4 linked regions of the Canis lupus familiaris genome follow. The protein of the gene in region 2 interacts with the protein of the main gene of each other region in a biochemical or structural test. Links are inferred from orthologs where the notes say so. Each region holds a gene or a part of one and is shown on either strand. Other genes may lie near its edges. The genes, in order: RPS6KA1, GOPC, SSTR5 and CRHR1.

The links.
Region 1: the proteins of GOPC (region 2) and RPS6KA1 interact in a test that uses a peptide from one of them, tested with the Homo sapiens proteins (2 studies listed by BioGRID and IntAct, with this or other methods). The link is inferred for Canis lupus familiaris from reciprocal best matches to the Homo sapiens genes GOPC and RPS6KA1.
Region 3: the proteins of GOPC (region 2) and SSTR5 form a complex in vitro, tested with the Homo sapiens proteins (2 studies listed by BioGRID and IntAct, with this or other methods). The link is inferred for Canis lupus familiaris from reciprocal best matches to the Homo sapiens genes GOPC and SSTR5.
Region 4: the proteins of GOPC (region 2) and CRHR1 form a complex in vitro, tested with the Homo sapiens proteins (2 studies listed by BioGRID and IntAct, with this or other methods). The link is inferred for Canis lupus familiaris from reciprocal best matches to the Homo sapiens genes GOPC and CRHR1.

The regions. Positions count from the first base shown.
Region 1 is NC_049223.1:72,913,606-72,918,530, forward strand, and holds the start of RPS6KA1 (ribosomal protein S6 kinase alpha-1), read right to left. Parts: upstream 3,291-4,925; 5' UTR 3,205-3,290; coding exon 3,070-3,204; exon of another isoform or gene 2,302-3,069; intron 2,281-2,301; exon of another isoform or gene 2,261-2,280; coding exon 2,144-2,260; exon of another isoform or gene 1,890-2,143; coding exon 1,808-1,889; exon of another isoform or gene 1,602-1,807; coding exon 1,521-1,601; exon of another isoform or gene 1,346-1,520; coding exon 1,266-1,345; exon of another isoform or gene 191-1,265; coding exon 84-190; exon of another isoform or gene 1-83. UniProt on the Homo sapiens protein: Serine/threonine-protein kinase that acts downstream of ERK (MAPK1/ERK2 and MAPK3/ERK1) signaling and mediates mitogenic and stress-induced activation of the transcription factors CREB1, ETV1/ER81 and NR4A1/NUR77, regulates translation through RPS6 and EIF4B phosphorylation, and mediates cellular proliferation, survival, and differentiation by modulating mTOR signaling and repressing pro-apoptotic function of BAD and DAPK1.
Region 2 is NC_049222.1:58,359,423-58,363,583, forward strand, and holds part of GOPC (Golgi-associated PDZ and coiled-coil motif-containing protein), read right to left. Parts: intron 3,580-4,161; coding exon 3,556-3,579; intron 707-3,555; coding exon 531-706; intron 1-530.
Region 3 is NC_049227.1:40,080,402-40,084,156, forward strand, and holds SSTR5 (somatostatin receptor type 5), read right to left. Parts: upstream 2,157-3,755; 5' UTR 2,151-2,156; coding exon 1,053-2,150; 3' UTR 831-1,052; downstream 1-830.
Region 4 is NC_049230.1:17,152,851-17,157,011, forward strand, and holds part of CRHR1 (corticotropin-releasing factor receptor 1), read left to right. Parts: coding exon 1-14; intron 15-191; coding exon 192-233; intron 234-841; coding exon 842-982; 3' UTR 983-4,161.

The sequences.
Region 1 (4,925 bases), on a different chromosome or scaffold from region 2:
ACACCTACCCCTGTCAGGAGAGACCCCAGGGCCTGACTCTGTACTCCCTAGGAAGGCTGGTATGGGGCCTGGGCCTTACTCACTTTTCAGGCTTGAGGTCTCTATAAATGATGCCCAAGCTGTGCAGGTGGTCCAGGCCCAAAGCCAGCTCAGCCAGGTAAAACTTCACATCCTCCTCTGTGAACATAACCTATGACAGGCAAGAGGTTGGCATCAGCTGGGAGTGCCTCTTGCTCAGGAGCAAGGGGAGTGGACAGTTAGCAGTTTCCTGGTCCTTCCTTGGGGAAGACCCTTAGACACCCCAGTGCCATACACTCTTCTCTTTATGAAGGCATGTGAGTATGAAATGACTAATATACGAGTCACTCACTGTGACACTGCTTGGAAATAGCAAAAGGGTTGGAAAGAGCCCAACGGTTGAGCAGAAGACTGGAATATATTGTCTCTCCCGTGCATGATGGAGTGCTATGCAGCCATAAACTAGGACAAGGAGTCTCTCCATGTTCTGATATGGATTGATCTCTAAGATACATCATCTCGAACAAGGCAAGATGCAGAACAGTATATACAGGGTAGTACTTTTTGTAAGGAAATGGGGGTTGGAATTCAGAACATGTATCAGAATGGTTTGTATTACTAAAGAAACCTGGGGCACTTAACCAAGAAATCAATAAAAATGTTTACCTATGGGGGCATAGAGGGATGGGGTGGGAGGAAGACTTCTCAATATTTTTATTTTCAATCATGTAAACGTATTACCTATTCAAACACTAAAATAACATTTAAATTTTTTTAAAAGCGTGTTTCTCTTCTCAAGTTTGACTTATATTAATGGTCCCATTTTAATATCTGGCTCAAATTCTTTTATGTCAGTTAAAATCCTTTTGGTTAACACATGGGACATAATGTTAAAATATCTAAATTTCTGGGCAGATTTGGATTTCTTCCCATCCTCACAGCCCTGCCTAGGGCAACCTCGGAAGAATGGAGGTACAGAGGTGAAAGAACCCTCAGCTCCTGGGAATCAGAGTGGCATCAGAACCATGGCCTGATCCTCCTCCTCCATCCTGGGAGAAACTCTGAGGCTTTGCCAGGGTGTACGCTCTGTCCCAGAGTGGGTTCCTAGGTCGGGTCTGCGGGGCAAGCCTGAGTGGTCCCAAGTCCAAGCCACACTGGACATGTTCTTCACTGAGCCCTGGGACAAGAGGTCTCGTTGTCCCTCCAGCTCCAATCCGGGGCCCAATGGCAGTCAAGTGTCAGCTTACCTCTTTAGAGAGCCGGGTAAAGAGGTCTCCACCACGCAGGAAGTCCAGGATAAGATAGAGCTTTCCCTCCGTCTGGAAGGCTGGGGAGAGGGAAAAGGCAATGGTGGAGCCAGCTGGGCCCTGGGCCCTGCCCCTCTACCCTAAGCTCCCTTTGTCTGCTGGGGTAGGGGTGACCTAGGGGAAAGGTAGTAGCCCACAGGCAAGGGCAAAGGCTGGTAGGTCGGGTGGGAGTTCAAGTAGGGTCTGTGATCTCACCATAGTGCAGCTTCACCACAAATGGGTGGTTCACATCTGCTAGGATGTCTCTCTCCATCTTGGTCCGAACGCGGTCACGCACTGGCCAGAAGAGAAACGCAGTCACAGATAATCTAGCCCCTCAAAACAGTCATCCCCAAGCCCTGGCCAAGAAGGGCTCTCTCTTTCATGTGTCCCTCCCATCTCACGGCAGTGCCCAGAGTAGAGCCCTTGGCACCCTGCCCATCCCACTAGTCCCATCTCCTGTGCCCAGTTCGGCTCTGCTTGGGGAGGTGACCTTCACTCACCTTTCAGCGTTGCCTTCTTTAGTACCTTCATGGCATACAGGTGCCCACTATCAGGTCGGGTGATTTTCCGCACTAGGAAGACCTGAGAAGGCAATGGGAAAAAGCAGAGAAATTGGGGAGGGGACTAAGCCTATCAGCTCCTATCCTCTGGGTCCTAGGTTGACCTCTAATTTTCCAGAGTCCTAGGTTGACCTTCGGGCCTCCCTGGGTACCAGAGTGACCTCCTGCCCTCCCCTCAGACCCATCAACCCTTGCCCTCTGATCCTGAACCCCAAAGTGACCCCTAACCCCCACCTCTGACATGAGTTGCCCTCCCAGTTTGGGCTCAGGACTCACTTTGCCAAAGGATCCCTGGCCCAGAACCTTGAGCAGCTCAAAATGGGATGGGTCGGCCTTCTCAGAGCCAGCCTTGACATGGTGCGTGATGGAGATCTCCTTTAGGACGCCCTCATCCTGATGGAGGAACAGAGCTGGTGAGTATGGTTGTCCCATCCAGGTGAGCAGGGAATATGGTCCCCATCCTAGCCTACTCCTCCTGGAGGCAGGGCCCTGTTAGCCATACCAGATGGCCATACTGATGGGGCCAGCCTGCTGGTTCATCAATACCAAAAGGGCCTCAAGGGCCAGGGATGGTCAAACTACCAAGGTGCTGAGTCAGGGGGAGGCACTGCTCCTACTGCCCCTGCTGCTCTGACCTGGTGAGACCCAAAGGGATACCCAGGCACAGCCCAGGTCCTGCCTGTGGGACTCCCCTCCCCCTGCTGCAAAGGTGTTAGTTTTGCCACAATAGGAAGTAGTGTGTATTCTCATACCGGGGAGGTAGAGCCAGGCTTTTGTTCCGGGTCAGAATGGATGAGAGGATCCTTGGCCAGAAGGACAGTGCTCAGATGCACAGACACTCAAGAGTCACTAGAGACCACCCCCACCAACCCAGTAAGTGCCAGTCAGGGGTGGACAGGAGCTAAGGCCGAGACTCCATGATCCACTCTTTGAAACTTCCTTCTAGGAGTTTTCTAAAAATCCGTTGCTGGTCCTAGTTGTTCTAGGACCCTTCTGCCCTCCCTCCAATCTGCCGGGATTGCCCTGGAGCCCTGAAGTGCTTCCTCACTTCCCCAGGAAGCAAGTCTGGGCAGGGTCCAGTTGTCCAGTAGGGCCAGGCCTGGGCTAGGAGAGCCGGAAGCCAACTAAGGCCAAACTAGCTGCCCAGGCACCTGCTCCAAGGACCACAGCTGGGCCAGGACCACACATCTGGGCACACTCACCAAGTCCCGCCTGGGGCCAGAGCCAGGGCCAGGGGCAGGCAAAGAGGTCTGGCTGGTCCTGGGCCGCTGCTTCCTGGGCAGCCAGGGGAGCAGGGCCCAGAGCCGCAGGCGGGGCGGCTTGGGATCCTGCTCCATTCGCCCGGCAGGGCCAAGGCACCATGGCAGGAGCAGGCAGCGTCCGGGGCTGCCTCCGAGGTGGCCGGGCCCAAGGCGGATGTGCAGGGTGAGGGCGGGGGCTGGGCCCAGCTCAGCACCGCCAATCACTTAGGGCCTGTGGTTTCCCAGCTCCAGGCCTACAATCTTACCACGTTCCCTTCCTCTCTTTTGCCCCCCTCCCCGTTGCCTGAGTGCTGCCCTCCGGCCCTCCCCCTTCCCCCATCCTCCCTGTGGGCCTACAAAGGGAGAGCCCCATGCCACTCCAGCTGCTGAGGGGGAGACAGGTACCCAACAGGCAAAGACTGGCATCTAACATGCAGAGGCAGATAAAGAGGGACACCCAACAGATAGAGGCAGGCATCAACAGGTAAAGACAGACCAAGGTAGGCATCCAACAGGCAGAGGTGGGAGGGTACACATGCCCACCAGGCAAGGATGGATAGGGACACATACCCAGCAAAGGGAGGTAGGAAGAACACTTACCCAATGATCAGAGACAGATGGGGACATGTACCCACCGAAACAGAGGCAGGAGGGAACTCATACCTGACAGGTAGAGGTGCATGGGGCATATATCCAACAGGCAGAGACAGAAGGGGACGTGAACTCAACAGGCAGAGACAGATGGGGACCCAACAGGCAGAGGCAGATGGGGGTTTGCATCCAACAAGTGGAGACAGATGGGGACATGTACTCAACAGGCAGAGACAGAAGGGGACACCACCCAACAGGCACCCAACACGTGACATGTACCCAACAGGTGAAGACAGGCACTCATCAAGTGGCAAGAGACAGGAACCCGACAACAGAGGCAGGTGGGACACAGAAAGAGAAAGCCAGTCAGTAAGGCCCAAGTAGACTGACAGATACCCAGGCCAGTGCACAGAAAGCCAGGCCCGGAACTCAAGGGCAGAGCTCTGGGTTCTTGCTAGTCTTCTGGGAGGTGGGGTGGGGGAAGAGGTGAGGGGATATCACCTGCAAACATCCTGCATCTTAGAGAGCAGCCCAGTATTCATGGCAGACACACCTCTGAGGTTTCATCCCATGCCAGGGCCTGGAGAGGCCCCAGGACTAACACAGTGGGCTGAGAATGCAGTCTGATGGCTTTGACTCTGATCCAGGTTTCCCAAATCTGTTATCCCCATTTCAGATACAGGAAACCAAGGGCCAGAGGACCGTGACTCACCCAGCCTGAGAATGGACCAGTGACAGAGCCAGTGACACTCAAACCCTTCCCCTAGTTACTGCCTGGCATGGGGTCAGCAGGCCTCAAGTGCCAGGAAAGGGTGAGCAGGTAAGTCAGCGAGAGCCATGCCCTGCCCATCCAAGCCCATCCCCTCCCTCAGTACCGGGATCAGTCCAGGGACTTCCCATTCTAGGTCTAGGACCCGACAGACACGGCCCCATCTTCAGGGGACCTCAGAGAGCCACAAAAGCTACAGTCATAAGAAGCTACAGGCTCTTCAGGCCCCTGAGCATAACCCTGGGTGGGACATAGGGATTGAGGTGAGCCAAGGCCACACAGCAACCCTTGCCCACCCCGCCCTGAGGTTTGAGCCTCTGCTTGCCTGCGTCTGAGAACACTCCCTGGGGACAGAAGCAGTCACCCGGAAACCCCAGGGGACAGAGCCACTCCCAAACCCATTCCTTGCCCAAGGCCATGGTGACAAGACATTGCTGGAGGCAGACCAACCCTCTGC
Region 2 (4,161 bases):
GTCACTGTCATTCCAAAGTGTTTTGGAGAGTCAAGAAAGATTACATTTCAATGATCACAGAAAGAATTCCTTAAGAAAGGCTATACATGTGAACATCATCTTTTATGGTTTCAAGGCAGGAAGTGGCTGAAAGGTGCAGATCTAGAGTTACTAGCATGTCAGAGTAAGTTCCTATCAGTGTGTGTGTTTGTGTATGTGTAAACCAGAAATACTTATGTAGTATGGCTAAATAAATCTACAATATATAATGCTATCAATATTAACAGTAAGACAGAGAGAGAGAGTGAGCCAGAGACACAGGCAGAGGGAGAAGCAAGCTCCATGAAGGAAGGCTGACGCAGGAACTCGATCCTGGGTCTCCAGGATCACGCCTTGGGCTGAAGGCGGTGCTAAACCGCTGAGCCACCCTGGCTGCCCTATAAAATAACTCTTAAGATAAAGATTAATGTTTCATTTACCATAAGAGGTAAGAGTCAACCTCACTAAATATCTAGCTACTTAAGAATACAAGGCACTCATTTTTTACACACCTTCCTGCCAGTTCCTTATCCAAGTACTTGGCAGCCAGTCTTGCCCCATAAACTTCAGCCTGGAGAACAGCTATATGTCTACGAAGGGCTTCATTCTCTTTTCTCAACAACTTCACTTCAGCTTCAAGTTGAGCTTCTTTCATTTTTTCTTTTTTGTTTGCTTCCAGCTCTCTCTCCTATTTAAAACACAAAAACAAAAACAAAAACAAAACCCACGCACAATGTAATGAAAATACTTTTTTAAGGCTTTTTAGCAACATACCATGTTTCTCAAAATACATAAAAGCGCACAGTCTGTTACAATACCAACAATGAAAGCATATGATAAAAGTTACCATTTCTATAAAATGGAGCATACAAAGATTTGGATCCAGTTCTTTTTAACTAGTACCAGAAGGTGTTGGGACCACTTCCACATAAGATAATTTCATGCCTTGGGGTACTCTGACACTGAGGATACTAAAATAATTAGTATTTTCTAAGCTTATGTCATCATACACTAATAGGAGTGGTTGCAATGAATAACTGAATCTTCTCCCTATTTATTTTCTAAAAATGACTCAAGAAACTAGACTAAAATAAAAAAAAAATCACTCTGGTGGCTGTATCCAAACACTTAATTAACTTTAAAGCAATAATTCTATAAACAAGTCAAAATTCTTCACTTACATAGATTCCATGGTTAATTTACCTTAGAGGACTACCAGAAACTTAAACTGCTTAAATTAGAACAGATACTCTAATTTTTTTTTAAAGAATGTTTGATGGTAATGGAAAAATGCTGGTAACAAACGTACTGAAAAATTTATACATTAAAAAATTTCTCTGCATGACCATATCTATGGTACAGATTATCACTGATTTTGGGGATGTGATTCATCTATCCCTATGTCAAAGTGAATGAAGTAAAATAAATGTTTGTGGAGGAAAACAGGGCCCTCCCTACCTGCCTTCTAGGAGGTAGGATGGACATCCATTTTTAATTCTCATAAAAGAATGCTCTACTTGGTAGAGAGTCTATATATGTGAATTACAGGTGTTAGCTAGAGTATAAAACCTCAAGATCTTTGCCATCCAATTTTTATCACAAGCTTACATATGAGAAATAATGTTCAATTTACCTTAAAAGTATAAAGTACAATATGTCTACTCCTACAACTCAGGGGTGACCAATGTAAATGCCTTCAGGGACCCAAGCACAAAACAGACCAATACAAGACAAAGTCGAGTGGAAAATGGAAGGTACAAAATCCCTGCCTAAAGGCAGTCAAACTCAAATACACAAAAGCTCTGTGGCCAAATAAAACTCTTCCAAGAGTTGAATAAGGGCCCTGATAGATATTTTAAGTGTTGTTTTTGGATTAACAAAACACTGTAAACTTCCATTTATTCTGAGTAGAAATGTTTTTACTGCCTTATAGAACTGCTTTTACCGATTTACTGATAAACAGAATCTATAAATCCTGTGTAAATGTGGTTGTATCTGTTGATGAGATGTGGAAGAAACTGTTCACCCTGTCCCCTTTGTGAGACTTAAATAAAGGTCTTGCTCAGCACCAGAAAAAAATGCTTCTCTTGAGCAAACGACAAATGATACTGTTTCTATTTGTATGGGTACTGATTATTGTAATTATTTCCCTTTTTATTCTGGGTAGTAAGCTGAGAAACAAATTCAAACAAACCTCTAACAATTCTGGAATATACTTTGGTACTAATCTAATGTCTGCTTTGGTCTACTGTTTTCTCAATAGTATATCAATAAATGATACACTAAAACATCAATATATGACATATTCAAATATAAGGCAGTGAGTACCACAGTCTTAAACACAAAAAAATAATATACAAGCTAAAATGAGTCATTACCAAATGGTAGATATATTTACTGCCTCTTTGATTACTGTTTTTCAAGAATCTGAAGAATAATCTAGAATCCTCCTTTTACAACTTTAGAATTATTAAAATTGCAATTTATTTCAGAGCATATTTCTTGAAAGGCAAGAATCAGTTCCAAAAAAACTCCACAGTTTAGATAACATGAACAATAAGCTTTCTTATGACATTTACTGAAGTTAATGCTATTTGTTTCAGAAAAAAAGTTCCAGAAGACCAAGTATTCTTTGGTTTATGGGCTAAATAAACTTTACATTGATATTTGTCTATGTACAATTGCCCTGATAACCTATTTATACAGTATTTATGGAATTTACAAAACACATATTAAGTCACCACTTTGCTTTCATGATTCAAACACCTAATGATTCTGACAAACTGTCAGGCCTGAAAATAACATTCGCAAACATGAATAGGACTAAGAAAACTGAAGTTAATCTTTTTAGTTTTTAAAGAAAAAAAATATGAATCTTTAGTTAGCCCATTTATTAGGTAATAAGCAAGAAGCTCATTTTGTATTTAGAGAGCCAAACAGTGTATTTTCAAAAGAAATAAAGCCATCAGACAAACTGGAACCTGATTAGGTTAGCATAGTGAGGAAAATATTAAGAATTTATACATTGTTATTTTCTAAAATAAGTTCTGGCAAAAAGTTTCAAAATTCAGTTGTTTCAAAGGCCACACAATTATTCCAAGACTGCTAAAAAGTTGTGACACATGCAGAAGATGAATACGAAACCAACATGCACATTCTTTCTCTGGGGATAAGTTCAAATAGAAAAAGAGAAAAAAGCTAGGTGTTCTTAATATATCTTCAAAATACTCAAGTGGGAAAACCAATTGCTCTTTTGAAGTAGAGGTTTCAACAAGTTACAAGGCTTAAAAGTTGTCAAAAATGGATGGGCTCTGTAAATAATGGTTATAAATCACAAACAAAAGAAAAATCTTTCACAACGTGTACTGAGAAAAGAGCAATGGGCCACCAACTGAACTTTTCAGGTACTGGAAGATTAAAAAACTATCATCATGAACATCACATCCAAATACAAAGTGACAACATATAATATGCAAATAAGACAATAAGAACACTTCAGCGTAACGTATTAAAGCCAAACAGAAACAACATACTTACCAGCTCCTCCACAGAGGGGACAGACTTAAGATATAAGAAAAAAGTTTGATAATTAGAAAAATATCAAACAAATGAATTTATCTAGTGGTATAATCATTATAAGGAAAACTCCCATACGTTGAATATCATTTGGGTAAAGTTCATTAGAACAAATATATTTGCAAATCCATAACCTACAGTAACTACACAGTGTTAGATTAAAACTTTTTGTTTTACCAAATTAGTCAGCTCACCTGGTTCAGTGCCTTCTACTACAGCACCCTGCTTCAGATCTAACATTAAAACTTCAAGTAAACTCTTTTCTAGTGAAAATGTATACACTGTTTCTCAACGTAAACATCAAATATCCCAAAAAAGCAGTGAGAAATCTGACTCATTTCAGTTAAAGAGAACAAGGTTACTAACTTAGATTCATAGAATTTCTGAATTTAAAAGATTTAAGGAGAATGGAAATATTCATTTAAATAAATTCTAACAAGTAAAATTTAAAAATGTATGACTATCATCATCCTCATTTCATTTCCTGCCTCTCCCAAGCTATATCTATCTTACTGCTGTGTCCCCTATGGTCAACCAAGTGTCTGGCACATACTTGCACACTTAACA
Region 3 (3,755 bases), on a different chromosome or scaffold from region 2:
GACAGCAGGCACGCTGTCCAGACCGGCAGCGGGGTGGGTGCACGTGGGCCGAGCGAGCCCCCACATCCGGGTCCTCCTCCTTCCAGACCTGGAGAGAGCCCCAAGGCACAGGGAACCCCAGCAGGTGGGGTGGCGGGAGACACTGGGGCTCCCAGGGCGGGAGGCCGGGCCTGGCATTCGCTGGCGTTGAGTGCCCCGGACGGCGCTGCCTTCCCAGGGCTGCTATTGCATTGGGAGCCGCTCCCTCTGCTCTGTCTCCCACCCTCGCCAGGCCAGAGCCCCCGGCGGAAGCAGAAGAGGGGGCTGTAGGGGCCCGGCCCTCCCCAGGGCGGCCTCTCCGAGGCCCTAGGACCCTCTGCCAGGGCCCCCTGGACACCTGTGTCCCCCGGACCCCTGATTCAGCCACTTTGCCGGCGGCCCCCCCAACCCACGCCCACCAGGGAGCCCTCGGCGTCCGGCCCACCCCTCGTTGCCCCCTCAGCCCTGACTGTGGGGTCTCCATGGTAACGGAGCTCTGCAGCCCCAGACGTCTGCCCTGGGATCCCCGCCCGCCCACAGCCTTGCCCCTTCACACCAGCCAGCTCCCGCCATCGGCTCCAGGTCCCAGGAGCGCTGGGGGCAAGGCCAGAGCCCCGTGCGGTCAGCTGTCGTCACGGACTCACACTGGACTGGGCCATGCAGGGCGGATGTGAGGAGGCACCGGGACAGGAGGGCAGAGTCAGGGCAGGCGGCACCAGCTCACACCAGTGGTCACTCCCCGGCCTGGCCAGCTAGCACAGGCTGGGGGCAGGGTAGCAGGCCACCAACGCCCTGAGCCCCGCCTGGGACACCCGTCCTCTCCCGCCCACTCCCTCCATCCCTGAAGCCGGCCTCTGCGGCGAGAACAGGCAGGTGGCAGAGACAGCCTGTCACTGCAGGGCCACCCACGGTCTCGACCCAGACAACTGGTCCTCACACTCCATGGAGCAGCCAGGCTGCGGCAGGGGGGCACCTCGGCGGGCAATCCGGACCGAGCCGGGCAGGGGCCACCCGGGGCCAGGCGCCCGCGGCCCTCACAGCCGGCTGGTCTGCATGAGCCCGTTGGCCTCGGAGCCGCGTGCGGGCAGCATGGCCTCCTGCAGCCGGCTGCTCTTGTCGGGCTGTGGCTCTGTGGCCTCTGCGTCCTCGGCGCCGTAGCCCTTGCGGAGGCACAGAACCTTCCGGAAGCTTTGGCGGAAGTTGTCAGAGAGGAAGCCATAGAGCACAGGGTTGGCGCAGCTGTTGGCGTAGGACAGGATGACCACGAAGAAGTAGGCGCCGGCAGAGGCGGGCTCCTCGGGCAGGACGAAGGCCAGGTTGACGATGTTGACGATGAAGAAGGGCAGCCAGCAGCCCACAAACACCACCACCACCACCACCACCATGCGGGTCACCTTGCGCTCCGAGCGCCGCCGCGTGGCGCCCACGCGCACGCCGGACGCCTTCACCTTGACCACGATGAGCAGGTAACAGAGGCAGATGACCAGCAGCGGCCCGAAGAAGCCCAGCACGGACGTGTAGATGATGAACACGGCGCCCCACAGGCCCACGGGCTCGGGCCAGCTGAGGTTGCAGGTGTTCCAGCCCTCCTGGATGTCCGCGAAGACCACCAGCGGCAGGGACATGAGCAGCGAGAAGGCCCAGACGGCGGCACTGGCCAGCTTGGCCACCCTGGGGCGGCGCCAGCGGGTGGAGCGGATGGGGTGGACCACGGCCAGGTAGCGGTCCACGCTCATGACCGTCAGGCAGAAGATGCTGGTGAACTGGTTGATGCCGTCCAGCGTCATGACCAGGCGGCACAGGACGGGGCCGAAGGGCCAGTAGGAGACGGCGTTCTGTGTGGCCAGGAAGGGCAGCCCCAGCATGAGCAGCACGTCGGCCACGGCCAGGTTGAGGATGTAGATGTTGGTGACCGTCTTCATCTTGGCGTGCCGCAGCACCACGTAGATGACCAGCGCGTTGCCACCCAGCCCCGCCGCACACACCAGCAGGTACAGCACCGGCACCACCACCGCTCGGGCCCCTGGCGAGGGCGCCAACCCCGCCTGCGTCCCGTTGTCGCCGCCGCCTCCGGGGGCCGCCGAGGAGGCGTTCCAGCCGGCCAGCGTGGGCGCCGGGAACAGGGGCTCCATCGCGGCCGCTGCGGGCCGGGCAGGGCGGGCGCAGGCGCGGCGCGTCCTCTCTGCAGAGAAAAGGGAGGACGGGAGCGGTTAACGGGCCAGGGTGCTTCCTCCCCGCGGCCCCGCCCGCCCCAGGAAGGCACGGGATCGCCCCACGGCGGGTAAACACGATTACTCATGTCCAGCTCGGCCGGGAGTCACATTAAGCAAATTGTTTGGAAAACAAGCGCAGAGAGGAAGGAGCAGAGGGACAGCGCCGTATCCTCCGTGGGTCCCCCGACGGCGTCCCTACGGCCCTGGCTGCTCCAGCACGGCCCCCGCCCAGCCTCCACCTGCCTCGGCCACCAGGGTCTCCTCTGGGGGCCTCGGGGTGTCATCGCCAGGACGGGTGGGGAAGGAGGGGGTGGTGATAGGAAGTAAGGACGGCGGCCCACCCGCCAAGCCCCCCCTCACCCCCCTGGACGCGCAGGTACACCTGCCGAGCCCCACTGTCCTGGGGGCCTCCTGGAGCCCGGGTAGCGCGCCAGGCCTTCCGCACGGCTGAGGAGCCACACTCAGGCTGCCCGGGCCCTGCCAGCGTCCACCAGGCTCTCAGGAGCGCCATCCCCAGAGAGCCCCGCAGAGCCCGCAGATGCCCGGGGGACTTGCTTACCGGCCCCCAGAGCAGCCGCTACAGGCGATGTCCCCAGCCCAGGACACAACGTGGGAAACAGCTCGGGGTCCCACCACCACACCCGCAAGGGCCTGCTCCCACCCGTCACCTCCGCAGCCCAGGCAGACGGCGGTCCTCCACACAAGCCGTAAGCCAGCATCGGACACACAGGACACATGGAATGACGCCCGGGCCGCAAGTCGGGAGGAAATGCGTGTGGGGGCGGGGGGCTGGCTACCGGGAAGGGGCGTGTGCGGGGTTTCATGGAGAAAGAGCAGAGAACGTTAACCTCCTCAGGTCAAGGTCATGGGCACACATGTCCCCTTACGCAGCATCAGTACTTCTCCGCGTGTCTGAGAAGGTTCACGCAAGTGATGATGCTCAGGAGAAGACAAGCATCTCGGAAGCCGAGAGGGAGAGGACGGGGATGGAGCCTCGGTGGGCACGCAGCACAGGGGACCCCTGAGCCCCGCCTGGCTGGCCCCCCGGGCACGTCGGAGCGGAGCGCACCCCCAGTGGCTACTGGTCAGGACCCAGGAGATGAGCGGGGGCGGGGGGGGAGGGGACTCAGAATAAGGTCAGTGCCCTCGGCTCCTCTGGGCGGACACTCTCCGACCGCTCAGGTCACTCGGTGATGGGACACTAGGAGATGCGACCCAGGGCACCAGCGATGGGGAGGTGGGTCAGTGGCTATAGCTCGTTCCTACTTGTAATAGGAATCGACAAGTATGTTTAAGATCTATTTAAATAAATATGTTTAAAAATAAATAAATATGTTTAGGATCCTCAATAAGGCACGAATAAAAATATCATGATATAAATTTGGCTGCCTAAGAAGTAAAATGAACAAGTGTGTATTTTTGAAAGTTACAACTCTTGGGTGTGAAAAATCCTTTGGACTTAAAAAAAAAAATCCAAAAAAATCAGAATCGACTTGGGTCTGGATACAGCTGAAGAGAGAATCG
Region 4 (4,161 bases), on a different chromosome or scaffold from region 2:
TAGAATCCTTCCAGGTACTGCCACCCACCCCTCACTCTGGCCCTGGCTGTGCTCTGCACTTGCTTGGGTGGGGATTCTTTCAGACAAGGGTCTGGAGGGGTGGAGGCTGTGGAGAGGAAGGGGGTGGCCCGGAGGCTAGGTGGGGCCATACCTGTCCCTGTGCCTTGACCCGCCTTCTCTGTCCACCCCAGGGTTTCTTTGTGTCTGTATTCTACTGTTTCCTCAACAGTGAGGTAAGGATGCCGGGGCCCCAGAGCTCAGGATGGTGGGGGGTGGGGGACTTCTGGGACCTGAGATTGTCTATAGCCTCCTCCTGCCCTCCACATGCCAGCTCCTCCTCCCTGCCCCCAGGTCCCTAATGAGGATGCAGCCAGGAGCCCCAGGAGGGCCCCTGACACCTGCCCACACTGCTCCTATAGTGGCAAGCCCACTGCTTTGCTCCCATAGGCAGTTGGCACAGGGAGTCAGAAGTCAGGGCTTCAGTCCCATCGATGAGTCTGTGAAAATGCTTGTTGAAAACAGGAAGGGCTAAGCCCTTGGGCAGGGCATGCATATGTGCTGAAGGTAGGAATTCTTTGTGGCAAAGGCCATCGGTGCCTCTGTGTGGATGGGAAAAAGTCTTCTCTTCTCAGAATACTTGCAAAAATCATCCTAACAAATAGGCAAATAATGTTGATGACATGCATGGCACCTCCTCCTGTGTGGCCCCCTTTGCGTTTCACACCTGCGTACTGCACGCCTGCAGACTGCTCACGTGTACTGCTGCTTGTGGCAGCCCTAGGGGATGGAAGGGAGTCCTGAGATCCAGGCTCAGACACCATGCTCTGCTCTGTGCCCACAGGTCCGCTCTGCCATCCGGAAGAGGTGGCATCGATGGCAGGACAAGCACTCGATCCGTGCCCGCGTGGCCCGCGCCATGTCCATCCCCACCTCTCCCACCCGTGTCAGCTTCCACAGTATCAAGCAGTCCACGGCAGTCTGAGCTGGAGGGCCACGGAGCGGAAGATGGTCTCCAGGCTTGGCCAGCTGCCCTATCTATGGAGGGGACCAAATCCTTCTCACAATCTGTATCCCCAGAAGCATCTGGCACTGACAGCGTGGGCCCCACCCCACCCCCCCGGCCCCGGAATGAGCAGGAGTTCTAGGCCTATGAGAGCAGCCATAGTCTGGGCCATGGGATGAATGGGAAATAACCTATAGGATTGGGCTGGGCCCAGGGCCTCTGGCTCCCTTGTGCCCCAAGTCCTCCCCGGAGATGGAATGAGAATGGAGTGGAGATGGCCAGCCAGAAAATCCAAGGCAGCACAGAGGTCCTTCCAAGAGGCGTCTTCTCCCAGAGCACAAGATGGCCAGCCTCCTGGAGACCTGGGGCCTGTCCTCAGCAACTGCAAGGCACCAATTGCTGCCCTAGGAGCATCATGGGAAACTCCTGTGACAGCATCCCAACCACCGTGATGATGCCTCTGGGTGTTGGCAATGCCTTCTAATACCAGTGGGAACCAAAGCCAGGTCACCAGAAAGCCCTGGCCATGTCATTAGAAACCAGGTGACATCATCAGACAGTAGGCCACACCACAAGAAATCCTCCCAAGCCACCATAATTTCATCTGGCACTGTGGCACTGCCATCAGAAATGCCCTGTCTCGCTGCCTTGTACCCTTGGACCTTTATGCCCTGCAGGCCACTCAGCCCCCCGCCCCGGTCCTTAACCACCCACAATACCCACACCCTGATGTGTCACCTCCTGCCCCTGGTGTCTCCCCCTGTGTGGGAAGTGGGGGTTGGAAGGAGATGGAGTGTCCTGTGAGCAAGAACCAGGGTGTGCCCCAGCCAAAGCCAGTCTCCCTTTTAGAGAACAGAGAATGCTCTGGGCCATCCTGCCTGCTGGTGTCAGTGGTCTGGCATCTGGGGCAGCCTCTCTACTGGGTACAGGGGGTTTCTGGTGCCTGGATGACCTCTGGAGCAGCATGATTAGCTAAGCAAAGATAGAAGGGGCAGGGGACTTGGATCCTCTCTGCCTGAGTGTCCTGGAGCAAGACAACTGGTTCTCGGGGCAATCAGCAGCCCCCACTGGACCCTCCTGTGTCCAGAGTACTGGGCCACTGGAGCCAGGCCTTGGGAGATAAGGTGTCAGCTGTGAGGGGGTGGCTGCTGTAAATAATAATATTTATCTTTTCAACCAGCATCTGTGAAGGTCTGGACTATGCGGGGTTGGGTGGGAAGGGCACAGCAGAGAAATGGAGGCCACTTTTCAGTCTGGGGCCAGCCAGCCTGTGGCTGGGAAACCTGACACCATTCACACCCATCCCGATGGGGTGCTAGGTGAGCCACTGGGGGCATGGGCCTGCGGACGCAGCTGACAAGGACGGCTCTTAAAAGGGATGAGTCATAGGGAGAGAAGGGCCACAGGTGAGCAGTGCTGGCCAAGGACACTAGAGGGGTCAGGGCCCATGGCGACAGCTCTAGCCAAGGTGTGGCAATGGGACCAGGCAGGAATGTCTCCCAGCCCCAAGGGAAGGGCCAAGCTGGAAGCAGGAAGTAGAGTTAAGGAGGCCTTGACACTGTCTCAGCTTGAGAGCCCCAGAAACAGAGCCAGAGACAAGGTTTCCAGAACCAAGTAGGGAAGGGGAGCACGGGGAGCGGGTGGGGGCGGGAGGCCAGGCCAGGGAGGCGGCCGGAGCAGGGGTGCCCACACCACAGCCACTACTAGGGGCAGCTGGAGCATAATCCTACTGCAGAAGCCCGAGGGGGCATCCCCGCCTTCAGCCCACCTGAGGGGCCACAGGGGAGGAAGGCTGCCCCCGGGGGTAGGGAGCACAGGGGCCACATGACAACAGAGACACAGAGAGAGAGATACACACTGAGGGAGCGTGCACAGGCACAGCAGGGTGTGGTGGGAGGCAGCCTGAGGGCAGGAGAGGGGGTGGGACGTGGAAACTCCACCCTGGCACACAGGGACCAGGGACTCGGGGAGGGGACCAGAGGCACCAGGACAGAGACAGGCTGATGGCCCCAGGAAGGGACCAGAAGTGCCTGAGGAATCTCAAACGGGCCACAATTGAGGCATCTTTCTCAACTGTTATTCGCCCAGTGAAGAAGTGAGAAAGCAAGGCTTCTCCTGTACGAGTTGGGCTGTGGGGACAGGGCTCCCCAAGGACAGAGCAGCCTGGGAGGAGGAGGAGAGGACATTGTAAGGAGGTTGCTTGGACAAGAGGTCCTGGGTGGGGGGCAAGCTGAGGCAGTGTCCCTTCTGCTTGTGCCTCCTTCCAAGCACCTACTGTGCATTCGAAACTGCCAGGCCCAGCACAAGGCGGGGAGATGAGTAGCCCCCCGAGATGAGTGCCAGCAGCCAACTGCAAAGCCTGGAGCTGCCGGGTCTTGAAAGCCATCAGAGGACACCTCCAGGACGGGGCTGACAGTCATCAGAGGAGCTCCTGGGGGAAGTGGGGGGCAGGCAGGGGCTGGTCCAGATGAGCCTCAGGACACCTCCCATTCAGAGACTGTAAGGGAGGAGGGGCTGCTTCAGGAACATCTGGGCCCCAGAGAACTGTAACTCCTCTGCGGGGGTGGGGGAGGGCAGGTGCCCAGGGTATAAGCCTGTCACAGCCCAGGGCTCAGGAAGCAGGGTGAAGGCAGGCCCCCAGATGGGGTTTCTGAGGGTCATTGTTCCCTGAGGTTCAGCCTGAGGGTATAAGGGATGGATACACATGCCACTGTGCTGGGGCAGAGGCCTGGCAACCACAGGGGGAGGGGGTCACTGCAGGACAGACCGCTCCCTCAAGCCTGGAGGCCACAGTCCCCTGGAGTACCCCATCCGAGCCCGTTTCTCCTTGGGACCCTCCTTCATGGGCACAGATCCCCAGGGGAGGAAAATCCCCACTGTGTGGTTTCCATTTCGGGCTCCTCCACCTCTAAGTGTGATGACAGGCCCCTGCCCTGGGGTCCTCAGCATCCCCTTCAGGCCTCCTCAGTCCTCCTGCTGCTGCTGGGTCAGATGCCCTAGGATAGGGCAGGGGAGGGAGCCAGATGTGGGAAAACATGTGCTAAGGAGGCAGGGAGGTTTTAGAATCCAGGTAATAACACCTTAATTGTGGGCATTTGTAAACTGCTTTGCAATCTGTATAATCCTTTATGATATCATCTAATCCTCAAGTAACTCAA